Linked DNA regions of Astyanax mexicanus. The protein of the gene in region 3 purifies or fractionates together with the protein of the main gene of each other region. This does not show direct contact. Links are inferred from orthologs where the notes say so. Each region holds a gene or a part of one and is shown on either strand. Other genes may lie near its edges. The genes, in order: anapc1, anapc7, mad2l1 and kif20a.

Evidence for each region.
Region 1: the proteins of mad2l1 (region 3) and anapc1 purify together in Homo sapiens (affinity purification with mass spectrometry; 3 studies listed by BioGRID and IntAct, with this or other methods). This does not show direct contact. The link is inferred for Astyanax mexicanus from reciprocal best matches to the Homo sapiens genes MAD2L1 and ANAPC1.
Region 2: the proteins of mad2l1 (region 3) and anapc7 purify together in Homo sapiens (affinity purification with mass spectrometry; 3 studies listed by BioGRID and IntAct, with this or other methods). This does not show direct contact. The link is inferred for Astyanax mexicanus from reciprocal best matches to the Homo sapiens genes MAD2L1 and ANAPC7.
Region 4: the proteins of mad2l1 (region 3) and kif20a purify together in Homo sapiens (affinity purification with mass spectrometry; 4 studies listed by BioGRID and IntAct, with this or other methods). This does not show direct contact. The link is inferred for Astyanax mexicanus from reciprocal best matches to the Homo sapiens genes MAD2L1 and KIF20A.

Annotation. Positions count from the first base shown.
Region 1 is NC_064414.1:12,396,201-12,403,078, forward strand, and holds the start of anapc1 (anaphase-promoting complex subunit 1), read left to right. Parts: upstream 1-3,852; 5' UTR 3,853-4,223; coding exon 4,224-4,436; intron 4,437-6,181; coding exon 6,182-6,343; intron 6,344-6,878. UniProt on the Homo sapiens protein: Component of the anaphase promoting complex/cyclosome (APC/C), a cell cycle-regulated E3 ubiquitin ligase that controls progression through mitosis and the G1 phase of the cell cycle.
Region 2 is NC_064419.1:1,302,012-1,309,656, forward strand, and holds the start of anapc7 (anaphase-promoting complex subunit 7), read right to left. Parts: upstream 3,013-7,645; 5' UTR 2,895-3,012; coding exon 2,794-2,894; intron 1,977-2,793; coding exon 1,790-1,976; intron 994-1,789; coding exon 874-993; intron 790-873; coding exon 678-789; intron 13-677; coding exon 1-12. Other genes in the region: proline-rich protein HaeIII subfamily 1-like, read right to left, coding at 6,487-6,659, 6,762-7,023; rapgef1a (rap guanine nucleotide exchange factor 1), read right to left, coding at 7,377-7,527. UniProt on the Homo sapiens protein: Component of the anaphase promoting complex/cyclosome (APC/C), a cell cycle-regulated E3 ubiquitin ligase that controls progression through mitosis and the G1 phase of the cell cycle.
Region 3 is NC_064415.1:32,658,457-32,665,807, forward strand, and holds the start of mad2l1 (mitotic spindle assembly checkpoint protein MAD2A), read right to left. Parts: upstream 3,006-7,351; 5' UTR 2,911-3,005; coding exon 2,847-2,910; intron 2,180-2,846; coding exon 2,033-2,179; intron 770-2,032; coding exon 649-769; intron 535-648; coding exon 431-534; intron 1-430. UniProt on the Homo sapiens protein: Component of the spindle-assembly checkpoint that prevents the onset of anaphase until all chromosomes are properly aligned at the metaphase plate.
Region 4 is NC_064424.1:33,418,472-33,425,680, reverse strand, and holds the start of kif20a (kinesin-like protein KIF20A), read right to left. Parts: upstream 3,007-7,209; 5' UTR 2,826-3,006; intron 1-2,825. UniProt on the Homo sapiens protein: Mitotic kinesin required for chromosome passenger complex (CPC)-mediated cytokinesis. Following phosphorylation by PLK1, involved in recruitment of PLK1 to the central spindle. Interacts with guanosine triphosphate (GTP)-bound forms of RAB6A and RAB6B.

The DNA.
Region 1 (6,878 bases), on a different chromosome or scaffold from region 3:
CCTGACTCAGAGAGGTGTTATAAATGTCAGTATAAACCTCTGCGAGTTCCCAGGCACAGTCTCTCAGCACACGGCCAGGAATGTTGTCAGGCCCAGGAGCTTTCCGAGCATTGATCCTGCTGAATGCTCTCCTCACACTGTCTGGGGACAGCGTCAGCACCTGGTCACCAGGAGGAAGGATGGATTTCTGGGCGGGTGTGTTGTTGAGTGGCTCGAACCTTGCGAAGAACCCATTCAGGTCGTTCAGCAGAGATGTGTCGCTGTCGCAGGTCTGTGGATGTGGTTTATAGCCTGTGATAGACTGGATACCCTGCCACAGGTTCTGTGTGTCTCTGCTGTCACTGAAGTGTTGGGAAATCTTCTTTGAGTACAAAGGTGTAAGGTATTAGGTGTAAAAAACGCTATATAAATAGATTTTCCTAATAAAATTTCCTCCAACAGTCCAGAGTTAAAAGTGGATTGATAAGTGTGATGAGCAAAGTAGAAGAAAACAGAGATAAATGTAGAAGCTGAGAAGTAAAAAAAAGCAAAGAAACAAAGCTAGCATCAAGGCAAGACAGAGCAGACCAGAGTGGCAGAGCACAGAAACTCCACCCAGAAAGGGAGTTGAACCCAAGACCCCAACACTGGGAGTAAAACATTTTAAACACTAAGCCACTATGCCACACTAATCTCTGACCGTTTCTCAATCTGCATTCTTGTCTGTGCTTGTGTTCTTTTCTTGTGGACTCGTGAAATGTCATCAGTCGCAGCCCAAGTACTGTTCCAATTAAAAGATCGCAGTTAGCCAAGTACACAACAAATACTCGGATGTGTTCTTGCTCCTACCACTCTATCTAGGATGCATGGAAGGTGACTTGTTAGCACTTCTCACAGCCCGATATCCCAGAATGCACCTCGCAGGAGTATCAGCGTATTGGCGGAGGAGAAGGTACATAACTGAAAGCACCTCTACGTTTTTAAAATAGTACTGCTGTGTGCTAAATAATGTTTTAAGTTATTTTTAGGTGAGAATGTAGGGGTTTAGATTTGTATGTAGATATGTAGTTTATTTATTAAGAAAGCTGCGAGGTGAAAATTTGCTCCTACATTTTTGGAACAACGCTTTCCGCTCCTCTAAGGGTTGACGTCATCAAGTACACAGCTGTTCCAATTACACAACAACCGTCCTGCTTCCTCCTGTCCTCGAAAGTACGCACTTGCGAGTTGATCTTCCAAAGTCTGTACTTGCCAAGTACGGGAGTCCAGACTTGTGTACTTGTGCATTGAGAAACTGCTTCTGCCTACCGAGGGCTGAGACACTCGATCTGACTGGTGGTCAGCCACTTGCTAGACTTACATTGGATTTTTCATCAGGCACATCAAACATAAAGTACAAAATACGTAATAATAAGAGACCTGATAAAAATAAACAAGGTCAGATTTAATTGACAGAACATTTCCGCACCCTGAGTCATCATGCTGTTCACTGCTGCCCTGCTGTTTCTGGACTGGGAGAACCAAAACGGATTTTTACTTAAACTGAGGAATCGTGACTCTTCTTCGTCCCCTCAGACACCTGCTATATCACTCAGTGACGCAGACTGATCTGAGCACAACCAAATCATACTCTCTCTCTCTTTTTCACACACACATGCATGAATAACACCCTGTATTGCAATTAAAGAACATGTTATATACTAAATTGCTTTAGAGATCAATTTGCAGCTGTCTCAAAGCCCACTGACACTCATTAAGTATCACTCAAGGGCTAAACTGTGACTTACTAACCATAAATCCTGTGCTGGTCCACAGGGTTATTCATGGTTTTTCTGACCTGTTGTAGATCAACCTCTTCTGTGGTTGCTGTTAAAACAAGGTAACTGATTACATAGTAATACTGTGTGTGAGCCTGAAGGAACAACAGTGCAGAGTTGAGATGTGGCTCTTCGGAAAGGCCATTCTAAAAGCTTAATATTAAAGTCTGATTAATTCTCTCCACAACCACTTTTCATGTGTGTTTGGGATAATAGTATTGTTGAAACATCCAATTGTATCCTGTTTCCACCAGTCTAGCTGATAATCTAAGGTTATTCAGAAGAACCTGGAGGTAGTCCTCTTTCTTCAAAATTCCATACACTTTTAAATTAGCAGCACAGCTGTCCCAAAGAAAGGTGCCACATCACCATGCTTATTCTACTTATTCAAACCCATTTCCTTTTACCTGAGGGGGATAAACAGCTTTTTTGAGACCCAGACAAAGTGGCCAGCTGTTAGCATTGCAGCTAACTCACGCCAGCCTGGTTGCTAGGTAGGTGTATTTATATTTTTTACTTTTAATCTTGTGTTGATTAGAAAACTCACATAATTCAAACATGTGCACCAAAGTATGTTTTTATTATTAAAGATATTGTACACGTATTGTGTGCCAGAGCAATAACAGTTGCAAGTATTCCTTAAAAATGCTCACCATTGCTGTGACATCCATGTTCAGTGATTGTACCAGTCAAAAGTTTTGGTACACATTTGTATTTAATGTTTTTATTTTTTTCTTAGGTCATCCAGATAAAGGAACACATAAATAATCATGTAGTAAACTTGTAGAAAAAAAACAAAATACTCTGCTATCTGATGGTTATTCTTGGTCTTCCTTTTCTTGAGCGATCCTAATGATAGCCAGTTTCATTAAGCTGTTAAGTGAAAGCCATTCCAGGTGACTACCTCAAAAAGCTACCCAGCTGACATTTCAACATTGAATCCATGTTGATGTTGAATCATGGTGTTGATATGGTGTTGATTTTGCAAAGTGAATCAATGTTGATATGGCAACGTTGTTTCAACGTCATATGTTCAACCTTAGATAAACCATAGCTCACATTCGGGATGCTCAAAGTTGTATGAAAGGGAAAAAAACTGTATGCCATGATGAAAAATTAACAATTTTATTTTTATTCTCCCTCTCTCTGGATATACATCTATGAGAAGTAGCAATTACTACAAGTAGCTAAAACTAGAAAATCATATTGTTAACAGTGTTCACAATAAACTTACATCACTGTGCTAAAGCTGGGTATAAAAGAATGTTTACCAATCTGATTCAACATTTAATCTCAAAAACACAACAGTAAAACAAATAGAACATGAACATACCTCCAAATACGGTGAATAATTGGTGGCAAATTAAAAAGCAATTACTGCAAATGTAAGTAAAAACACTTTTTCATCCCTATATTTAACCATTTTTTAAAACTGTATGCTGATTAAATGAAAAATGTTAATTGAAAAGGCAGAAGGTTGAGGACATTATGTTAAGTCAACGTTAAAAATTCAACATTTGCACTACCATTTAACGTCTGTTGAAGCAACAACAGACATTTCTTCCACCATATTTCAACCTCAGTGCCAGCTAGGTCACTGAGAAAATGCCAAGATGTGCAAAGCTGTCATCTAAGCAAAAGGTTCTAGTTTGCAAGATCTAAAATACAAAACATATTCTGGTTTGTTTGACATTTCATTGTTTACTAGATAATTCCAGATGTTTTACTTCATAGTTTTAGTGACTTTACTATAAATCTACAATGCAGAACATTTTAAAATACAGAAAAAAACACTGAATTTAATGCGTGTCCAAACTTTTGGGTGGTAACGTTACTGTACCTGTTGAGGAGATATTGATCAGTTAGTTAGCTATCACCGGTTGTGTGAAGAAGAGAAAAGTAACAGGAGTAGAATGTGTTTCTGGTCGCTGTGTGGATCTGTAGATATATAAATCATGTGTTTAGGAATATCTGATTTATATAATATGCGCTATCACCGTGAGGCTCGTGTTGAGATCAGCGGGACTGCGGCGGACGCTGTGATTGGCCGCACTCGCAGCGCGAGTATCACGGGAAAGCAAGATGTCCGCGTGCGTTTGAAAATGTGTGTTTACTGGTTTGCTGCAGTTTAGCGGTGGTTTTAGACAGTTTGCGCCCTGTGCTTCACTCTCCGCGCGCTGCAACGGCGGGAGACCCGGCTGGAGAAGAGGAGGGAGCTCAGAGAGAGGAGCCGGACTGTTGTTTATTAGCGGGCTTGCTGAAGAAAATGGTTTGGTAGCTCCGCTGCTAATGCTAGCTTAGCTTAGCTTAGCCTAGCCCAACTTAGCCTAGCCCGCTGCCGCTGTGAGGCCGGGCGCGTAGAGCCGCTGAGGTCCGCCGCTGCTGTTTTAATGTCTGTGGGAGAAATAATGCTGATACTGGGAACTCATGTCGAACGTGTATGAAGAGAGAGCCGCAATGATAGCCGCCGGGGAACTGCAGCCGTTTGTCCCGTTCGGTCGTGAGCACTGCAAGAACCACCCGAACGCCGTGAACCTCCAGCTGCGCCAGCTGCAGCCCGCCTCAGAGCTCTGGTCCTCGGATGGAGCGGCCGGACTCGTGGGGTCCCTCCAGGAGGTCAGCCTCCAGGAGCGCCAGAAGGTACACTACAGTAGGCTGTACACTAAAGTACAGTACACAACACTGCGCTGGAGTACACTGTGTTACACTAAAGTATAGTACACAACACTGCGCTGGAGTACACTACATTACAATAAAGTACAGTACACAACACTGCGCTGGAGTACACTGTGTTACGCTAAAGTACAGTACACAACACTACATTGGAGTACACTATATTACACTAAAGTACAGTACACAACACTGCGCTGGAGTAGACTACATTACACTAAAGTATAGTACACAACACTGCGCTGGAGTACACTGTGTTTCACTAAAGTACAGTACACAACACTGCGCTGGAGTACACTACATTACACTAAAGTATAGTACACAACACTGCGCTGGAGTACACTGTGTTACACTAAAGTACAGTACACAACACTGCGCTGGAGTACACTACATTACACTAAAGTACAGTACACAACACTGCTGGAGTACACTACATTACACTAAAGTACAGTACACAACACTGCGCTGGAGTACACTACATTACACTGAAGTACAGTACACAACACTGTGCTGGAGTACACTACATTACACTGAAGTACAGTACACAACACTGTGCTGGAGTACACTATATTACACTAAAGTACAGTACACAACACTGCACTGGAGTACACTATATTACACTAAAGTACAGTACACAACACTGCACTGGAGTACACTACATTACACTAAAGTATAGTACACAACACTGTGCTGGAGTACACTACATTACACTAAAGTACAGTACACAACACTGTGCTGAAATACACTGCATTACACTAAAGGACAGTACGCTACCTTACATTACACTAAAGAACAGTACACCACTGCACCACAGACAACTTTAATACTCTAAGCACACTACATTACACATATTGCTTAACGACACTGCACTACAGTACAGTGCACTTTACTACACTACAGTACTACAGTACAGTAAACTATGCAGATTGCCTAACTACAGTAGACTACAGTACACTGCACTACACTACAGAGTACACTACATTACAGAGCAGCATGCAGGTTGTTTAACTACACTACAGTAGACAAAGTACACTGCACTAGACTACAGTACAGTACGCTACAGTAAAGTACTCAATATGCTTGAGTGGACTACGTTACATTAATGACAGAATTGTATACAGTATACATGAGGGGAATTTAGAACCGGTATGCATTTTTCACATGCCGCCATGCCGCTAGAGGCGCTGCAGGGTGCTGTGTAGAACAGTGCCGGCAAAAAAGCACCCTAGCAGAGCTCGCTAGCTAGGGCTAACCATTTAGCATAACAAGCTAACACCGCTCAGTGAGGTCGCACACTGTCCTGACTGGAGCTTCTGCTGTTGCTGATTACAATATGAGTAACTTAAGCCCTGTTTAAATATATTAATACTGTAACTTGAAGGATAAAAATGCACAGTGAACTGAAAGTAGAAGTAAAATTGTGATAAACTAATAAGCAGCTGCTTAAATACTTTAATGCCTCTAATGGCTTTTATATAATAATATAGTTTTATTTGATATTAAACTTGTGTATAACTATATATTATAATATATATATATATATATATATATTATTATTATTATTATTATTATATATTATAACTATATATAATAATAATATAAAAACGTGATATATTGTAAAACCATCAAAATCTTGCAAAATACTTTGATGTGCATTTTAGCAGGGGTGAAATTTGGACAGTATCCATTGTTTTAAAATTTTCTTTACTTTTCAGGAATCTTGGCAGCTTAGGAAGGGTTCCACCATCACAACTGATGAAGCTGAATATGAAGAGGAGCTGTACGTGGCAGGACATATGGTTATCTGGAGTCGGGGGAGCAAGAGTCAAGCATCCAATGTGTATAAAGCTTTTACAGTGGACAGTCTAGTGCAGCAGGTATTGCCAATATTCATAGACTTTTTTGAGTAATTTCCCTTATAATAAGAGCAATAAATAGCAAGAATAATACAAGAACAATAGTAATAATAATAAGCATCTTTCTTAATTAAAACAATATTTGCAAAGATTACAGAGAAGAAGAAATAAAATCAAATTGAAATAGCTAGCAGCTAATAAACTGTTATTAGCAGTTAAGATATAAAATTGCTATATAGTCATGCTTTAAATACAGTGGTATGAAAAAGTTTGGGCACCCCTGATACTTTTCATTATATTCATTAGCAATTTCAGTTAAATATGTCATATAGCAGATAAACACAGTGAAATTTGAAAGGTGAAATGAAGGATTTGCAGAAAGTGTGCAATATATATATATATATATATATATATATATACACACGTGTATGTATATATATATATATATATATATATACGTATATATATATATATATATATATATATATATATATATATATATATATATATATATATATATACACCCACGTGTGTATATATATATATATATATATGT
Region 2 (7,645 bases), on a different chromosome or scaffold from region 3:
GAGACAGCAGCCCTGCAAACACAGAGACAAGCACAGAGACGCACAGAGAGAGACAAACAGAGAGAGACGCACATAGAGACACAAAGAAAGACGAACAGATTAACAGAGTCACACAGAAAGATGCAAATAATGAGAGACAAACAGAGAGACGCACAGAGACAAACAGAGAGACGCACAGAGACAAACAGAGTGAAGCATAGAGACAAACAGAGAGACGCATAGAGACAAACAGAGAGACGCACAGAGACAAACAGAGAGACACACAGAGAAAAACAGAGTGAAGCATAGAGACAAACAGAGAGATGCACAGAGACAAACAGAAAGACGCACAGAGACAAACAGAGAGACGCACAGAGACAAACAGAGAGACGCACAGAGACAAACAGAAAGACGCAAATAATGACGAACAGAGAGACGAACAGAGAGACAAACAGAAGCACAGAGACAGGAACACAGAGAGAAGCAAAGGAAGATGAAGAGAGAGACGAAAAGAGAGAGACAAACAGAGAGACGCAAAGAGAGACACAAATAAAGATGAACAGAGAGACAAAGAAAGAAGCAGAGAGAGAAGCACAGAGACGCAAACTTTTCTTAGTAACATTTCTCAAAATCAATCCATTTTTTTGGCTTAAATTTGTATAAATTAGTGTTAATATTTTATTAGCAATATTACTCACCAATAATGGCATCGAGAGCGAGAGGACACTGACGCAGAACCTCCTTGTAGCTCGTAACAGCTGAGCGCTCCTGACCCGCCTTCCGGTACAGATTCGCCAGCATCATGTTAATCTGTTGGGATCAGATTAAATATACAAATAGAAATCACTCTCACAAAAAAACAACCAATCAGAGATCAATAGAAAGAGAAGACACCTTGGGGGTTCTCTGCCTGGAGGGAATCCCATCCAGCACGGAGATAGCGTCTTTATCCAGCTTCAGAATGGTGTAGCACTCCGCTATCTTATACTTCACCTCAATCTCTGAGGGCAAATTCTGTAAAATATTAATAAACACATTAAATACTTAAAGATTTAATTTCACTAGAAAGCACGTAGTAATTGATCTTTTTTAAAATACAGTAGGTCACTGAGTTAAACATGAAACTGTTCTTCTACTCTTATTGTCTGCATTAACCGATTAAAAAAAAACAAACAAATAGAAAAACAAGTGAATTGGGAAAAGCCCCCGGACTGACATCAACCTGTAACTAAGGATTCATGGCCTTGTTAGCCAATCAGAGGCAAGGCATTTGCATGGAATGAATATACTCATAAATAAAAGCTGAAAATGCTACCTTTCTTCCTCGCCCACTCCTCCACTGAACTAAAACAGCCTGAAACAGGAGCACCGGAGTACTTTTTTTTTTTTTTTTTTTTTTTACAAAAAATAATGGACACACTTTGTCAGTTCTATATTTTCATTTTTAGGTGTATATCATAATCTATAAAATATTTTTTTTCCATTAAAGCCTCCTTTTTTTAACTGTACTTTTCTTTTTTTTATTTTTTTTTTATATTCTTACATCAGGTTCATTTTCACTTTTCATAGAGATCAACTTTATTCAAATGAGCAATAGCGGCCACATTGGATCTAACCAATCAGGCAAGAGTAGACGGGTACATCACACACATACAAGCATCAGACATTTAGTTTGGTGGCCTTTTGGTATAGAATTTTGAAACCAAAAATGTCCTTTTCCTTAATTTTATCAGATACTCAATATAAAAAAGTCTCAGTATGTTAAATAAAGCAGTGTATCATTACATCACTACGGGAGCTGAGGTCTGACCTGAGTCTGTACGGAGGACGAGCCGCCGCTGCTGGACGGTCTCACTTTAGAGGCTTTGCTCAGCACTTTCTTCTGCTGCAGGGCCATGTTGTATTTGCAGGCTGCGTTTCTGTACTCCTTATCATGGAAGATGGAATCAGCGTGATACACCAGCAGCTGATACTTCTGAGCCGGAGAAAAGAGCTCCCTGTAGGAACAAGAACATTACATTTTATTATATTACATTTACAGATATTTACATCTAGATCTGATACAGTTCAGAAAACAGAACCGTGTTCTGATACCTGAATATCTACATTCAGTTTCAAACACAAAACAGAGATTGTCTATATGGGTGAAAAACTACCAACTATGAAGCTGAGAGAAGATGAAGAAACACAAATTAAGAACCATCACACAAATATCAGACATAGTCAGAACAACAGTTTAAAATGTCCTGAAGAAGAAAGTCGTCACTGGTGTACTACATAACAGGTGATGAACAGGTAGATTAGTATTCGGGTATCTGGTTATTTAGGTATGTATTTAGTTAGTTATTTAGGTTGAGGTGAGGTAACACCCATGGGTTATGTAGTTAGTTAGTTAGTTAGTTATGTAGTTAGTTATTTAGTTTAAGGTAAGTTCAGACTTTCGGGTTGTTGGAGCTCATGGTCAGCAGATATTTAGGTATTTAATTTAGTTATTTAAGTATTTAGTTATTTATTGAGGTATTTGGTAATTTGTACTCACGGGATGTTGGAGCTCATGGTCAGCAGCAGGTTAGTTAGTTAGTTAGTTAGTTATATACTTAGTTATGTAGGTATTTATGTATTTAGTTATTGAGTTATTTTGTAATTTAGATAGATATTTGGGTATTTGTACTCACGGGTTGTTGGCGCTCATGGTCAGCAGCAGGTTAGTTATTTATTTAGTATAGTTAGTTAATTAGTTATTTATTTAGTTAGTTAGTTAGTTAGATTAAGGTGATATTAATATTATTTAGGTATTTGGGTATTTGTACTCACGGGTTGTTGGAGCTCATGGTCAGCAGAAGGCTGCTCAGGATCCGGACATTAGAGTAAAGGCCGGCGGCCGCCATGTCCCGAACATAATCAATAACACTCATCTTCAGCTGATTAACTGATAAAACTGATAAAACTGATCAGAAATAATCAGAGTTTAATCCGCAGCGCTGAGAAACACAACGCAGATCAAAAGCGACAATTTCAAAATGGAAGGGAAGTGTTGCGCAGTTACATTTCAAAATAAAAGTCCCCACAGTCTGGTAGCCCAGTGTTTAATATAACTTACATTATTTATTTACATGTAGCTCATAGCTTATTGCACGTGTTTATAATATTATTATTAATAATAATAATAATAATAATAATAATAATAATAATAATGATACATTGAGACCCCTTCACTTCCGTTTCTGAATCAGTAAAAATATTGTAATTTAGAGCATTTATTTGCGGACATAAAAAAAATAATGCAAAGAAAACAAGTTCATATTCATAAAGTTTTAAGAGTTCAGAAATCAATATTTGGTGGAATAACCGTGGTGGTTTTTAATCAGTTTTTAAATCATACATCTTGGCATCATGTTCTCCTCCACCAGTCTTACACACTGCTTTTGGATAACTTTATGCTGCTTTACTCCTGGTGTAAAAATTCAAGCAGTTCAGTTTGGTGGTTTGATGGTTTGTGATCATCCATCTTCCTCTTGATTTTATTCCAGAGGTTTTTAATTTGGTAAAATCAAAGAAACTCATCATTTATAAGTGCTCTCTTATATTTTCCAGAGCTGTGTATGTGTGTACTCACCTCCAGCCGGCAGTATAAACTCTGTTTACTCCTTCTTTTCAGCCATGCTTTCATTTATATAATTTTTAAAAAGGATACAATATGAATATGTGAGGTCAAATATTTCAAATATTTGCAGAAAAATATTTTTTTTTTATCGAAACTTATTACATGTATAATACATTACATTTATGGCATTTAGCTGATGCTCTTATCTAGAGCGACTTAAGCCCTATCTGGACGGAATTAGTTTCTCAGGAGGTTCTGGGTAATTTAGCCTAAAAACTCACTGATCCTCCTGTTTTTTCAATTGCAGTACAGGTGCAGGAGTTTTGAAATATTTTTCACAGACGTCCCCCTGAGAAACTAATCCCATCCGGATAGAGCTTAACAAGGTTAATTCTATTACGGATTTGGGCCAATAAGAGTCCTTGGGCAAGACTCCCATTAGTGTAGCGCAGCATTCAGTTACCCAAACCTGGAATTGAACCCGAGTCTTCCACATGGTAGCTCATTGGCAGGTGGTGGTGTTATCCACTACACCACACACACACTAACTTAAATGAACACTTTTTTATTTTTACTTTCACTTGCCCCCTCCAGTTCCTAAAGTCATCATTACTTCTTAATTCCACATGGTGGAGCTATAATCAAATGAATAGGGTTAATAATCCTGTGTGAAGAATACTGGTTGTGAAATTCTGTGAAACTGAAACACCAAAAAATCCATAATTCCCGGTATTTACTTATTTTTAGGAGTATTTTTTCCTATTCAGTAACACAGATGCTGTGAAGTATCATAGAGAATTGTATTGCAATGTACTGAGTATCGCAGAAACACAGTATTGTGAAATCATTGTTATTGTGGACAATGTATTATTATTGTGATATCATATAGTCAGACATATGGTGGTGATCATCCATCAAATTAGAACGTCTTCCCGAGACAGTTAGTCCAGCAAAAGCAGTATAAACTAAATTTTAATACCCTCGATTCAGGTAAAAACAATAAAACAAACAGGTGTCCCAACAATTTTAAACATATAGTGCATCAGTTGCATTGATTATTTACTGGGACCTTGAACTACACAGCATTTGAATGAATTTTTTCCATTAACCAGAAAAATATAAAGCTCTGTAAAAAATGAAGAGATCACATCAGTTTCTGAATCAGTTTCTCTGATTTTACTATTTATAGGTTTATGTTTGAGTAAAATGAACATTGTTTTTTTGTATGCATCTTGGCATCATGTTCTCCTTCTTCTCCTCCACCAGTCTTACACACTGCTTCAAGCAGTTCAGTTTGGTGGTTTGGTGGTTTGTGATCATCCATCTTCCTCTTGATTATATTCCAGAGGTTTTCAATTTGGTAAAATCAAAGAAACTCATCATTTTTAAGTGCTCTCTTATTTTTATTTTATTTTTTACAAAGCTGTATATAGTTCAGGACTAAGCCTAAGCCCTGTTTGAAAGGAAACCAGCACTGTAACATCATTTCTAGTAACAAATTAGTCTCCTGCCATTGTACCGATTCTTTTATTCATTTAGTTTCAGACTCAGACCTTACTTAGGTCATTTTTATTTATTTGTTGTAACCACTATTTAATCCCAGCACTTTCATACCGTTTAGAGAAAGGGAGAATAAATCTCTCCGAAAGTGTCCTTAATATAAAATCCGTATAAAAAACACCACCACAATAAACAAAAGGAGAAGACTTATATTATATAAAAATAAAGAACACAAATCACGCCACCAGTTCAACAGCTTTAGGCACTTGGTATCAGGTTGTGTGTGAGCTCTGTTGTAGTTAAATAACAAAAAATGGACTTCAGAAGTGTAACATACATATACAACATATACAGCTCTGGAAAAAATGAAGAGAGCACTTAAAATGATGAGTTTCTTTGATTTTACTAAATTAAAAACCTCTGGAATATAATCAAGAGGAAGATGGATGATCACAAACCATCAAACCACCAAACTGAACTGCTTGAATTTTTACACCAGGAGTAAAGCAGCATAAAGTTATCCAAAAGCAGTGTGTAAGACTGGTGGAGGAGAACATGATGCCAAGATGCATTAAAAAAAACTGATTCAGAAACTAAAGTGGTCTCTTCATTTTTTCCAGAGCTTTATAAAACAGTCAATCATATGAATGTGTTTCTACAGTACATTTGCTATGATGGATATTTAATGGCATTAAACTACACACTTTACATCAGAGGACCGACTCAAAAACACAATCTTTTTCCTGAAAAAAGCAATTTTAATAAATACGGTTGGAAGACTTGGTTGGAGGTGTGTTTCATCAATGGGTCATTCATACACACAACATTGAACAGGAAGAATGACAAGAGAAAGAGGACAAAACCAGCAAACCAGCGTAATCCAGGTAAACCAGTCCAGGTAACTGGTGTTATCTCAGCAACAGGGGCAACAGAAATCTCCATGATAAGGAAAAGGCCCTGGTTAAAATCCCAGGAAAGTGCTAAACTGGTTGAAATGATCGAAAGCATTTGGTTCATAATAATAATAATAATAGTACTATTATTAATAATAATAACAATAAGTAACAACCACTGCCTGCAGATACCAAGACCTAGTGCCAAATGCTGAAAGCTGTGAAAACAGCGACTGTAAATAAACAAACACTCATAAAAACACTCCTTCTAAACTTCTAAAGTTCTTAGTAAACAGTCGTCCATGTGCATTGTTTTCCACGTATTGTTCCATGTATAAAAAACTCCACGTTTATTGTTCAAACTTCTTGTTTTTGACGTCTTCACAATTCAAAGCCATTTATTTCCACAGAAACTGATGTCACTGTGTCACAGGCAGGGGGCGCTCTAGAGACAGTGTGTCCACAGAGCCTGAGAAAAGAGTCATAACAGCATGTCCAGATGAAGAAGTCTTATCGCATCGAGTTCCTCATTAAAACGTCCAACATAAATCTTGTTAACAGAGGAGGTTCTCGACCCAGAGGAGGAAGATCTCGACCCGGAGGCAGAGGAGGTTCTCGACCCAGAGGAGGAGGAGGTTCTCGACCCAGAGGAGGAGGAGGTTCTCGACCCAGAGGAGGAGGAGGTTCTCGACCCAGAGGAGGAGGAGGAGGTTCTCGACCCAGAGGAGGAGGAGGAGGTTCTCGACCCAGAGGAGGAGGAGGTTCTCGACCCGGAGGAGGAGGAGGTTCTCGACCCAGAGGAGGAGGAGGATCTCGACCCAGAGGAGGAGGAGGATCTCGACCCAAAGGAGGAGGAGGACCTCGACGCAGAAGAGGAGGTCTCCACCCAGATGAGGGTCTCCACCCAGATGAGGGTCTCCACCCAGATGAGGGTCTTGAACCCTGAGGAGGAGGATCTCGACCCAAAGAAGGAGGTTCTCGACCCAGAGAAGGATCTCCACCCAGAGGAAGGGGGAGGATCTCGACCAAGAAGAGGATCTCAACCATAGAGTAGAAGGATCCAGGCCCAGCAGATGAGGATCTCGAACCCAGAGGAGAAGGTTCTCCCTTTAGAAGAGGATCCAGACCCAGAGAAGGAGGATCTTGACCCAGAATCTTTGCTCTCTGAGGTCTCCCTCACTCCAACATTTACACAGGTCGAGATGCAGTGCAATCCCGAGATATATTATATATATAAAAAAGCAAATTTGTCCTGTAAACTGTAGCGGAAATGCAGTCCTGCTCCCCCGTCCCAGTCTCGTAGCTGCCGTCACGCCGCCGTCGCCCCAACCGTTTCTTCTCGTGGTTTCCGTCCACACAGCCTTTCTTTACCCAGAGTTCTGCTGGAGGAGAAGGAACCCCTATGTCTTCTCCTCGCGCTCTGTTTTGCGGCGGGTGATGTTGCGAGGCTTGATCTTCAGTGAGAGCTCCCATAACGCCTCCTCCGCCAGATGATCACTGAAGTCGTTGAAGAAGGACACGATGTCATCATTGTGTTTGAGGTCATAATGCCTGCAATAGACAAAAACAATAAAACACGAATTAGATTTGATTAAAGATCAGGTTTCTATACTGAATATACAGTTTCTGAATCAGTTTCTCTGATTTTACTATTTATAGGTTTATGTTT
Region 3 (7,351 bases):
AAGTTACTGACTTTACTCTAATACCTATCTATAAACCCAATAATCTATATCTATAAACCCATGTAGTAGTAATACAGATCTCTCTCACAAACCTGTATTTATGTTTAAATTTTGGTTTGAGAGCTAGTTGTCACTACACTTTACCAAAACTAAAAAAAAAAAAAAAAAATATATATATATATATATATATATATATATATATATATATATATATATATATATATATATATATATATATATATATATATATATATATATACACATACATACATACATACATATATACATATACATACACACATTTGCCATCCTATGTAACATGGAACATTTGCATACTTTCAACCACCATGTTTCATAGTACAAGTTAAATATAATAGAAACAAAGAACGTAATTCATGACACATAGTTAATGAGAAGGTAGAATACTTACATGCAGTTTCCAGTAAAGGCAAGAAGGTGACAGTGGCTGTGATTTGTCTGATGACAGAACGGATTTCTTCCTGGATGGCTTTTATAGACTTTTCTCTGGGAGCACTAAAATACGCAACACACCACAGATCAGATTAACAACTGCACAAACTTTCACCTGCAGATACTTCAAATAATATAAGGACAAATCTACTGACATTTCCTCAAATATAATAATACCTGCTATCCTTTGCAGTCTTGTCGCATTCAATGTCAAACTGCCATCTCTCCAGGACTTCATTTGTCTCAAGGCATGTGATCACCACCACCAGCTTCTGAACTGTGCAATCAAACAGCCACTCTGTGGAAAACAGGTCAGTCGTTTATTGATAAAAAGCAAAGATCAAACAATATTATAATATGAGTGTATTTTATTTACAATTATATATATATATATATATATATATATATATATATATATATATATATATATATATATATATATATATATATATATATATATATATATATACACACACACACACACAGTACAATTAGCAGTGAAACAGTTGTCATGCCACATAAAAAGATGATAATGGACTAAAAACTACAATGTATCTATACAAAGAAGAAAAGAAAAAAAGAAAAAGATATCTGGGCTGGGAGTTTAATCAAATTAATTTGATTAATGAAATTACTGTTCTAATGCAATTTTCAAAATGGGATAGGTATTTAATTGTTGAAAGTAAATGTGAAAGCAATAATTCATTGTGCACTTTAAATAGTGCTGTTTGTTTATAAACTGAAGTTATTGTGAAATTGTTATTGAGAATCACATACCTTTGAAAAATTCAGATTTTTATTAGATAGATAGATAGAGAGATAGATAGAGATAGATAGATACAAAGATTATTACTTGTATCTAGGGTTATATGGAAGACATTCCATGTGGCACGGTGATACAGATATTATGGATTTACTATATTATGTGGTTGCATTTTAAAGTGCATATAATTAAAAAGTTACTTCATTTCAGTATTTTAGCTAAAAATGTGAAACTCATTATATACATGTATTACACACAGAGTGATATTTTTTAAGAGTTTATTCTTAGTGTTAATAATTAAAAAATTAAAAATCAGTATCCCAGAAACTTAGAATATTAAATAAAGACCAATTGATGCTTTTGGCAGTGTAAGAAGTGTGCCAAGTCCAGCTGGAGTGCTGTATGGTTTTCGGGAAAACACTGAAATGATTTCGGACTTGATAAAACAGTGGAGCAACACCAGCAGACTCTCCAAACCACCCAAACCAGTGAAGAGGCACACAGTCCAAGCTGCTTGAGGTCTAGTGTGAAGTTTTCACAATCAGGGATGGTTTGGAGAGACATGTCATTTGCTGGTGTTGGTCCACTGTGATAAATCAGGTTCAGGTGTTTTTTCAGGAAAATCGTACAGCACTACATGCTTTCCAATGCTAACAACTTTTATGGAGATGTAGATTTTTATTTTCCACCTTTATTATTATGAGTATTACATTTTGAACTGAATTACTCAAATAAAGTAACATTTCAATAATGTTCTATTTTTTAATGCAGTAGTAGTAGTGTGAACAGTGAGTCTACCTTTGAGCTGTGTCACAACGTTGGTAAGGTAGGTCTTTAGCTTGGGGTCTGTAGTGAGCTGAAGACTCATATCATACTGTGTGACTCTGGAGAAAGTCTCTGCAGGATAAATTCCTCTCTGGTACAGGATACTGTTGATCCCAAACGCTGTATAAAAAAACACACAGTGAACAAATATATACTTTAAATCAGTCAGACTTAAGTAATTTAGTAACTTTTTAAATGATCATTACTTTGTCTAAAGCAGTATGTGGTGTTAGCTGTGGTTGTACAGCAGGCCATGCAGAGGAGGATCAGCCATTTATTTATAAATAATGACGAAACTGGGGCTTTTCGACACATGACCACAAGTGTAATGTAATCTAGTTAGCTAGTTAGCTAACAGACAACTGTACGGGGAACCTTGTCATAAAACTATACAACTAACTAGCTATGTTAACTCGCGACTGCTGTCGTGCTAAAACACTGACAACCGAACCCACGTTAACGTTAAAAGGTTTGCACAATTAAACACGCCCTCCGCCAGTTTAGACTCCGTTAAAAACACGTTTCACCACGACAAAAAAGAGGCTTCTCAGTGTTTTACCGACCAACTAAATGTAGGTTAACTAGTGTCCAGCGGAATTACTGTATATAAATTAAACGGAGTCGTGGTGGAGCTATTTTAACGCTAGTTAATGTTAGCTAAACTAAGCTAAGCTAACTGTTAGCTAACCTTGTCTATCTAACGTTACACACGCAGCCAGTTTACAGTTTAAAGACGGTTCATCCCCGGTTCTCTCAAACAAACGGACACAATAACGGCTCGACTTACAGAAAAACTCCGCCACGAGCTCGGCGCTGCCTTTCAGCGTGATTCCCTGCAGTGTTTTGGACATGGCTCTGCCGCGATTGTTTCTCTCAGCAGCGCTGCTCTCTGTGTTTCACCCGCCGCTCAGTTTGAATTCAGAGCGCGTTTGAACTGGCGCGCATGCGCACCATCAAAACACACAGCGCAACGCTGATGACGCCATTACGCACAGCGTCAGCGCTGAAGAGCCGCTCTGTTGATCCATAACGTCTTATCACTTCAATTTTCTGACTGTTTCATAGAAAATAGAGCATAGAAACATAGAAAATTAAGTATAAAACTTAATTAATTATTTATTTATTTATTTATTTATTTATTGTATTTACTTTGGTGAAGAAGAATTTTTTGTTGTTTTTTTTTTCCAATCTTTTCCAATCATGTCTGCCTTTTTTAGATTCTAGATTCTTTTTCTTTTTTAGATTTTTCCATTTTTGTATCTTGAAATCTGATGGTTTATAATGCAACTCTGTTACAAAAGGGAAAAAAAAAAGAGAAATATATACATTTTTTTCATTTTCCCTGAAATTTTAATTGGTAGGTGCAGAAATTAAAAAATAGAAAATTGGAAAAATTGATTTAAACCCAATTCTTCTGTACTACACCAAATTGTAAGAATAAAAAAAATGAGTTTTACCCTCAATTGTCTATTTTCGAATTTAGCATTAAATTGTCAGACAATTAAACTAATAAACGTTACACTGACCATTTCAGACCTAAATTATCTCCAGTGAAGAAAAGATATTTAAGAATGCGGTTTTCTATCTGTAATGCACAGAAAAAAGACTATAATATTCTACTATAAAATGTAGTTATATAGCAAATAAATCCTATTAACTATTTTTTTTTCCATTGCATTGGAAGTCTGTGTGTAATGTTTTAGATATATTTTTTATTTACCTTTTTATTTCATAAACCTTACTCAAACAGCAAAATAAAAATTTAAATGTTCTAAATCACATTAAATTAGTAAACTGTTACTAATCAATGGCTACTACTAGTACTACTGTTTTTCCAGTTCAGTGGGCGGGGCTAAGCTACTGTTTCATTGGTTTATAAACTTGTTAATTGGCTGGTTCATTCATGGTCTATTCTAATGAACAACAGCTCCATTGTAAATAGATGCAGGGTCTGAAAGGGTTAATTGATGGCATTTTTTAGTTAAACTTTTTCGTTTCTAGGAGAGTTTTTTGTAGTAATTTTGTATTTAGTGTTAAATAAAATTGTTTCATATATTTCTACATTGTAATTATATACTATGTAGTACATACATTTTTATTTGTAACTATTTGATTTTAATTGAGTGTCATAACCAATAACATTACAATAATACAGTAATAATTTAATAATGTATTGTTATTATTGTAACAAATATCCTATTTAAATAAACATGTATAGTACCAATCAAAAGTTTAATTTAGTTCATGTTTTTCTTTATTTTTCTTTACTGTTTTTCTCTATTTCTTTATTTAATTTATTTTCTACATTGTAGATAGTTATCCAGAAAAAAAAATACCCTGTGCTGGTAGTCTAGCAGTGGTAATTTTGACAGGTGATTTGGATTTAGTCTTAGTTTTTTTGACTAAAATGTATACACTGTGCACAAGCCTTGTCATATAATGCTCATTGTTATCTTGCACCCCATTAAGGGGTCTATTTTCACACCTTCCATCTGCGTCATTTAAATAGAGATGTAGGTTACGATTATATCACACCTGGCTCTTTGAGGGCAACACACGACAGACACACGCAGATACCAAAAGCACAGTTTATTTAAAAAGTGCTAAGCTTACGGGAATGGACAGGGACAGGCAAGGTCAATAACAAAAGGGCAGCAGAGACAAGCAACATACCAGAGTATGTATGCAAGGAGGTCATACACAGTATATTCAATAATGAGTAGAAGGGCAAAAGGGTAGTCATAATACAAAAATAGGTCTGCAATGAGAAGACTAACAAAACAAAGGGATAGGAAACAGTGGTCAAAAGTACAGGGGCTATATATACAGGGGAAATCACATGAGGCGTCACGTGGTCAGGAACATCCGGGAGGTTAGAGGCAGGTGTATCCTGGGAAATGGAGTTTTTTTGTGAGAGCAGTACAGTCCGTGGCAGGCAGACAGATTTGTTCATTGCACTTTATGCCCAAACATACCTATGATTAAGGGAGTTAATATAAGCCTTTTGCCATCGTTATAATAGTGAAAACATACTCACACTCCCTAAATCAATCTGCACTGAAAAAGGGCCCTTTGTGTTGATCTTTCCTGCTCTACTTCATGTATTATTTTATTTTTCATATTAATTCTGATGTCTATATTTTATTTACAAACATATTATGTAACAGAGCAGCAAGCAAAATAAAGGATGGTACTTATCTCGGGATTGCTGCTACATTTATTCTTAACTCCCTAATGGAAACCTCCACCAGGGAGGACTTAAGTGCAGACAGAGTTACAACAGGGACAAAATAAATTCAAAATAACTTGACAAAACAGAAGAAAAGATTAGTGTAATGACTGGGGTTGGAGTTGGCTTTCACAATGCTTGCGAGTGGAAGTTTAGGCCGACAAGCTGATAGTAGGCAGGGACTGTGCTTCCACAGCAGCAGTCACTCACTCATCACTCATTTTATTGTTACTGAATCCTGAATTTTGCTATCCATGTCTCATCAAGAACACATTTTAATCAAGCTGTCAGCATGAACTCATTTTGGAGGAAATGTAAACTGATGCAGATGAGTGAGATTAAAACTAATTATGCACTAAATCACAAATGTTTTTTTTTCTGATTCCAATCACTGTACAATTTCTTATGCAGGTCTGTTCCCATACGACAGACTTTGTACAGTCTGCATGGAATTATTCAGATTTCCCCTTTCCATACAGAATTCCATAAAGTGTGCATCATCACCATGCAATGAAGGCTCACCTGCCAAGGTTGATGTCAGGCATAAAGTTTCCCTGGTACATTTTTCCATGATTTATTTAATTATGTCGTGTTTGTCATGCAAACCTGTGAAGTTGCCACAAAATGCAAGTGGAGAAGTCTTTCAGTGTGGGGATCTGAAAAGAGTGAGTTTTTGGCCTATAAGTAGCCAAGAGTGCAATTACTGCATAGAGAAAGTATGTGAGATCCAGCAGCAGCAGCAGGAGGGAATCACTGAGGAAAGAAATTCAGGGGGATTTCTCCAGCGCTCTGCTGGCCTACTGTAAGTCAGCAGCATCTGTCTGGCTATCTGTCTGTCTGTCTGTCTGTCTGTCTGGCGTGCTGTCTGTCTGTCTCTCTGTCTTGAAGTTTTGATATGATTATGGCCATGCAGTACATAATATTCATTCTGCTCTAATAAAAAAGTTAGGCCTACTACAAATAGTAAAGGAGATAAATTAGTAGTGGAAGACATTGCCCTTAAATAATATCACAATATTATATTTTTTATTTTTCTAATAAAAATATTATTGAAAAATGCTTTAATACTTACAAGTATATTACTTTTCAAATATTTCAATTATATTCTACAGCAAAATATTTTTTAAATGTTTATTGTGAAACAAAAAAAATCGACCACAAAACTAAAGAGCAAAATATGCAGTGCATAAAAATAAAATAAATGCAAATAAAATATAAAATGCAAACTAACTGCAGTGCATGTACATAAACTGCAAAAATTAAAATAATATTCAAATAAAAGACAAAAAGAAAACTAAACTAAAAAACAATAAATGTAGTGCTTGCAAATAAACGGCATTAACTAAAATTAAAACATAAAGAACAAACTTAACTCAAAAAGCAATATGTGTAGTGCATGCATATAAACTGCATAAGATTAAAATAATATACAAATTAAAATACAAAAGAAGCTGAGATAGTGGTGGACGATATTGACCTAAAATAATGTCACAATATTTAATGGTATTTTTCTGATAATGATATTCTTTTAAACTGTTTTTTTTTTTTCATTTTAAGACTATGTCACTGTAAAATATTGTTTGAAAATTGATACAAACATGCAGTAGAAACCAAAAAAATCTATAAACTTGCTGGAGTGACATGACGTGCATATGGATGAATTTTGCATGAACCAATAGGGTGTCAGAATGGTATATGTTTATTCTTCTCATCCAACCACAATCAGATTTGCTTTATCTGAATGGAGAGATTCATCTGAGAGTTTTTTTTTTTTTGAGCGATGAAAAGCCGGAACCAAAACAAGCTGAAATGGCAGGAGTAACAAGGCTGTTTTTAAAATGGAGTTTTAAAGGAGTAGAAAGTTCAAATAATTGTGTGAAAATGTAAGGGGTAGAAGTAAAAAATCGCCTGTAAAGTAATTACTAATAAAACCAAAAATAAACAGTCTGTCTCTGAAAACTGGGTAATGTAAACCCAGTCAAAAGGGGGGTTCCAGGAGTCAAAAGAGGTCAAATGTTTAAATCCAATCAACACCAGAGCCCTTCAGGGTCGGAAGTCTGAAA
Region 4 (7,209 bases), on a different chromosome or scaffold from region 3:
TTTCTCAAAGTAGAAGACTAGTACTCTTCAGATCATGTGTATTTGGTCTGGCCCAATATGAAAAAGTCCTTCAAAATCACACTGGAACATCAGCTTTACATAAAAAATATTGTGCATTATGGATCGGTATGCTATGTTGCCAGTTCATTTTAAAGTATAAAATCAGCTCGGGCCAGGCTAATTCCAGGTTTTCCTTAAAGGAGAAGACTAGTTCTCTTCAGATCATGTGTATTTGTTCTGGCCCAAGATTAAAAAGTCCTTCAAAATCACACTAGAACATCAGCTTTATATTCAATTTCTTTGTGCATTATGGATCGTTATTCCATGTTGCCAGTTCATTTTAAAGTATAAAATCAGCTTGGGCCAGGCTAATTCCAGGTTTTTCTTAAAGTAGAAGACTAGTACTCTTCAGATCATGTGTATTTGGTCTGGCCCAAGATTAAAAGGTCCTTCAAAATCACACTAGAACATCAGCTTTAAATTAAACTTTTTTGTGCCTTATGGATCGGTATGCCATGTGCCAGTTCATTTTAAAGTATAAAATCAGCTCGGGCCAGGCTAATTCCAGGCTTTCCCTAAAGTAGAAGACTAGTACTCTTTAGATCATGTGTATTTGTTCTGGCCCAAGATGAAAAAGTCCTTCAAAATCACACTAGAACATCAGCTTTACATAAAAAAATTGTGCTTTATGGATCGGTATTCCATGTTGCCAGTTCATTTTAAAGTATAAAATCAGCTTGGGCCAGGCTAATTCCAGGTTTTCCTTAAAGTAGAAGACTAGTACTCTTCAGATCAAGTGTATTTGGTCTGGCCCAAGATGATAAAGCCCTTCAAAATCACACTGGAACATCAGCTTTACATAAAGAAAAATTGTGCATTATGGATCGGTATTCCATATTGCCAGTTAATTTTAAAGTATAAAATCAGCTTGGGCCAGGCTATTTCCAGGTTTTCCTTAAAGTAGAAGACTAGTTCTCTTCAGATCATGTGTATTTGTTCTGGCCCAAGATTAAAAAAATCTTCAAAATTGTACTGGAACAGTGGCTTTTTTGTGCAAAATGGCTCGTTATACCATGTTGCCAATTCATTTTAAAGTATAAAATCAGCTTGGGCCAGGCTAATTCCAGGTTTGTCTTAAAGTAGAAGACTAGTACTCTTTAGATCATGTCTATTTGGTCTGGCCCAAGATTAAAAAGTCCTTCAAAATCACACTAGAACATCAGCTTTACATAAAAAAAATTGTGCATTATGGATCGGTATTCCATGTTGCCAGTTCATTTTAAAGTATAAAATCAGCTTGGGCCAGGCTATTTCCAGGTTTTCCTTAAAGTAGAAGACTAGTACTCTTTAGATCATGTGTATTTGGTCTGGCCCAAGATTAAAAAGTCCTTCAAAATCACACTAGAACATCAGCTTTATATTCAATTTTTTTGTGCATTATGGATCGGTAGGCCATGTTGCCAGTTAATTTTAAAGTATAAAATCAGCTTGGGCCAGGCTAATTCCAGGTTTTCCTTAAAGAAGAAGACTAGTACTCTTCAGATCATGTGTATTTGGTCTGGCCCAAGATTAAAAAGTCCTTCAAAATCACACTAGAACTTCAGCTTTAAATTAAACTTTTTTCTGCCTTATGGATCGGTATGCCATGTTGCCAGTTAATTTTAAAGTATAAAATCACCTTGGGCCAGGCTAATTCCAGGCTTTCCCTAAAGTAGAAGACTAGTACTCTTTAGATCATGTGTATTTGGTCTGGCCCAATATGAAAAAGTCCTTCAAAATCACACTGGAACATCAGCTTTACATAAAAAAATTGTGCATTATGGATCGGTATTCCATGTTGCCAGTTAATTTTAAAGTATAAAATCAGCTTGGGCCAGGCTAATTCCAGGTTTTCCTTAAAGAAGAAGAGTAGTACTCTTCAGATCATGTGTATTTGGTCTGGCCCAACATGAAAAAGTTCTTCAAAATCACACTTGAACATCTGCCTCATTTTTTTGAGCGCAATGGCTTTTAAAATATAATTTTATTAAATATATATTTAATTATTTATTGTAATATATAATTATAAATTCAGTAATTAAAACAAATATTTTACAATATACAAAATTACATTTAATAATATATTGTATATTTACATTGTTAATAAACAGATGTACTGCTTTTCTTCATTCTATCTCCTTCAGTGTTGATCTGTGAGGTGTTTAATATAAACAGCGGGTGTTTGTGAACGCTCCCTTTAGTTCACGGTGGTTCAGTGTAGCGGCAGCTGCGAATATCAAACCAACTTCAGCCGGGGAATACGAGGCTGCGAATATCGAGCCAAACGAATCTGGAGCTGCGAATATCAAACCAACTTCAGCCTCGTCACACTTAAGACATGCAAATTAGAAGCGTCATTGTTTTCTGTACTTGTTAGACGTTGGTAACATTTTTAATAAGTACAGTGACTAACACTGAAACCTGTTAGCGAGCTTTAAATAATACATATAGCCTCATGTGTTTGTGCAGAGAGGAAAAGTGACTAAAAACAGAAATTACTCTCCTACTGTGGGTTAAACCGTCCAACCGATCAGTAGTCACTTTCGTTAGTTAGTAACCTAGTTAGCTAGCGTTAGTTACTTTAACTAGTTAAGATAGATTGGTTAGCTATTATTATTGTTTCTAAATCAGCCAAGCAATAGTTGTGTCTGTTTATTTGTCAGGTTTAACTACTTTACTTCGCTGAGTTTACATAAACACTGCTATCTAGCTAATGCTAAAGCTAGCCCAGACTGCTGTTCCTCGTGTATTTAACGTTATACATCAAGATTTGGGCTTATTCTTACCTTTGCTGTTCTTAATCTGTAGTTCTTCGGCCAAAATACCCGCGGACCTGACTGCTAAACCTCTTCCTTATACCTATCTTTATCTCTGCTGTGTTAAACTACTGAAAGCTAACCTCACTACTGTAGTTACTGAACCTCTCGCTGCCTCCCGACCGACTCTCACCAACGTATTCAAACATCGCGCTGAGCCCCCTCCGCCTATCCCTGTGCGCCGACCTCAGCCAATCAGAAGCGCAGGGGCGGCCGCCGCAGATGCTGATTGGTGAGCAGCACAGTGACGGTTTGAATTTAACCAACGAAATCCAGTAACAGTACTGCAGATGTAAAATGTTCCATTCCACCTTAAATGGAATAAACTACATGTGACAGCAGCACCATTTAAGGTGGATTGGGAAATTAGGTTCCTTTTCTGGATATTTCTGGTGGACAAATAAAACGCAGCAGCTCCAAACCGGCGTAAACAACAACAACAAAGCGCACTAGAACCTTAAAGGTGAAAACAGAATGAAATGAAACCCATGAAAGTAAAATCATAAAGTCTGTGGTCAGTGTTTTTTTCTGTAACTAACAATATATAACATTAGAATATACCAAAATAAACATAATTCCAGTGATCAATAAGTGGGTTTATCTGTAAAACAATACAGAAGATTAGAATAAATCATCAAATCTGTTTTATTTCTATAGCTCTTTTCCAAAAATGTGGTACCAGGACAGAAGAAATAAAACTTAAAATATAAACCCTTCCATATAAACCCTTCCAGTGAGTAGCAGCAACAAGGAAAAACTCCAACATAAGTGCTGTAAGAAAAAGGAAGTACCCAGGGTCACAAAGGTACTTTACAAAGCAAGGTACAGGTACATGGCTGGCCTTACTGCAGTTCTTTCCTGTTCCCAATAAAAAAAAAGTGTTTTTACAATTTAAAAGAAATGTAACAATGACAATAATACAGCACCTTAAAATGTAACTGATTGGGATCATCATATTTTTGTTGGCAGAAGGAATGGCAACAAAATGCTTTAATACAATTTTTATTGTGTGTTTCAGGTCTGAAATGCAGGAATGGGGAATGGATGTACCATATTAAATTCAACATTCAACCGACAAAATGTGTAAAATACAAGTGAAAATATAAGCAATAAACAATAAGTCTACCACCCCGTGGAGCTGGCCGCAAGATATATTTTTTTCATGAAATTTATGTTGGATATGGTTCTACTGTCACAACTGGTATATATGTGGCCAACCTAGATGCCTCAGAGTGCAGAGAAATTAACAATTAACAGCCATTGTCAACACAAGGTGTCTGCTTTGCACAGAAAAATGACATTTGTAAGCCAGTGTAAGTTAAGTGCAGAGTAAGCAAAGACACATCAGGTTCAAGGTCAGTTCAGGAATATCTCAAGACAGGTCTCAAGTCAGTACAAGCAGGTCTAAAGTGAAGTTGTCATGTCAGTACAGGCAAGTCTCCAGATCAGTCACTAGTCAGTACAGACGGTTCTTCAGCCAGTACAGGCTAGTCTCTAGAGGAGTGTTAAATCACTACATACACTATTTTACCAAAAGTATATGCTCACCCATCCAAATCATCATCATTATAGGATCCCATCTGTGCACAAAGTTGTAAAATTTACTGCATGAAAACTGCATGAAGACCTCAAGATTCTCTCAAGAACAGTAGAGCGCTTCCTGAAATAGGTGTCAATGTCCAAGCAGCGGCATTCAAGCCTTACATCACCAAAATCAATGTAGGCATGCAGAAACGTTTGTGTAAAATAATAGACTATAAGTCTTGAACTACTACAAGGTAGTAGTGCAGAGACAGCACAGTCTAAAGTTGACTACATAGAGCGTTTTCACAGCAGCACTATTTGGTCCGGTTAAAACGAACTCTGGTCTGTTTGTAACTTTAGTGCGGTTCGATTGAGCAGGTGTGAAAACAGTAATCGCACTCGGGTGCGGATCAAAAGAACCGGACCGAGACCAGCTAGCCAAACGAACTCTGGAGCGGTTCGCTTGTGGTGAGAATGTGATCCGGTCTCGATCGGATCCAGCTATTAAATATAAGCCATTTATTTGAGCTAAACTTCTGATAAAGCAAGCACAGTTTAAACTGATATATTAGCCAGATAACGCTGATTACCACAGCTGTGAACAAACACTGTCCATGCACGCGCCGTCTGCGCTGCATTCACTGCTCGCAGCCGCGTGACTCTGTTTATTATGTATAAATCTGCGCTGCACGGAGAAACACTGTGTTTGAAAGTGCAGTGTTTCAGCGTTCATTGTTAAAGCACAGATATTTGCGCTGGAACACAAAATCTTCTCGCTGTCTTTACTTTTTTCGTATATTTATATTTAACATACTCCCGTGTCAGACAGCTCTGACCAATCAGAGGACACAGGCTGCTCGCGTGGTTTATTGATGTGCATTTCGGTGTGTTTACATTTATGCCTATGTGAAGCCAGACCGAACAGAGCGAGAAAACGCTCCAAGTAAACAAACTCATTAACTGATTCGGACCAGAGAAACGAACTTTAGGTGTGAAAACGCCCTTAGACTGCATTGCACCGCTGCTTTTTAGCACACTAAATGCTATTTAAAACACTGGACACAAAAATGATTGGACTGGCAATATTGCAGTTTATTGATTTGAAGATTTTGGAGATTAAATGAACATCATAGACATACGAAAACAGAAAAGCAGCCTATATTATATTATATTACATTTGGCAGACGCTTATATTGATAACTGTGGATAGATTGGAGTTTATGCGCAATAAGAGCATTCTGGCGCTTTAATTTGGAGGCCACATTCCATCGGTATATCCTACACAAATATGGTAACCAAGGCTGTCTTGTCTTGTCGTTGGGTTTGCCTGATCTGAGAACAGGTTTGACTTGCTTTGTCAGTAGGCATATATTTAGTGAAGCCAAGAAGTACATGAAACATGAAATAAAAAACAAGGTTTGTGAAAGGATTACTGTGCAGCCACAGACTTAAGCCTTGATTAACTCACTTATTCCACTCACTGACTCTCACTGAGTTGCAGCTGTGTACAGCTAACAAAGTGCTATTAAAACTACCAAACTCAGAGCTAGGCAAAGGTTCAAATTCTTTAAAAAAGCACCATGAGCTACCACCACTGATACACGCACTGATTAATTAACATTTTCTTTCACAATATTACAAATTTGCAAAAAGCTTTAATGAAAACTGGTGTTAAATCAAGGTTGAGCAGTGACTTGGGTCTGATTCTAGCTCACAGTGTTGATAATGGCTAATCTATATTACACAGACAAACTGAGGAATTGGAGCGAAGCCTGAATCCAGCATGTACTGGTTCAGTGAATGTGTGGTGTATGGTGTGTATGTGGATGGGTGTGTCTGAGCTGGGTGAGATGTTGTAGAAGGACAGTGTACCCGCCGCCCAGTCCAGAAACACTCCCATTCTGTGAGAGGGGGACGGAGGTGTGGATATGGGAGTAAGATGACAATTGTGCCAAAGAGCGTAATCAGCATTAATAAACCCCTCCAGACTCCAGGACTGATTCCAGGCCCCAAAAAGACTTTTCAATCCAAAGTCTTTCCTTGCTATTCCTTTATACGACACAGTCATAGCCGCCCCCCTCCCATCCCACTCAGCCTCCCAGTAGCAGCGTCCAGTCAGACTCTCCACACTAAGAACCTGTTTGATGTTGTCAAATCTGTCTGGATGTTCTGGATACATCTGATACTCCCAAGACCTCTTCGCCTTTCTGTTTCCCTCAGACAGAGTAAGACAAGGGTGTATTGTGTTTTGGTCCAGTGTGAGTGCGCAGGCATCTGTACACACAAATAATACAAGATTAGAAAATAACAAACAAACAAAATGCTATATGTGGATGTGTGGAACTTACATTTTTTTAGTCCTGGTTTCATCCAGATCTTCCCTCTATGTTCCACTCTAAGGAAGAAAGAAAACAAACATTTACAAAATCTAGCTTTACAACTTCAACGAAACCTTGCTGCATTACCTCCTCACACACTGCAGCAGGATCACGGTTACAGCTTTGAATAAATTAAATATCAATAATGGAAATCGGTTGACAACTATTTACTTTGTCTTTTACTATCAAATATGATTCATCACGTTATGAGGGCACCTATAGAGCTCCTAATTCTAAGGCGCACTATCAATGAACGTCTATTTGCTGGTGTATTATAATTTGGTGCACCAGAATATAAGGTGCATTTACGCGACAATAGTAAGGAACAAGGGTGTCGTCATGTTTCCCTTCTAATTCTAAGTAAACAAAACTGTAATTCTTAAAAAAATATATTTTCAAGTCAAACAAGCACTGGATGTTAATTTACACAGATTTCTCTCCTGGAAACTGTT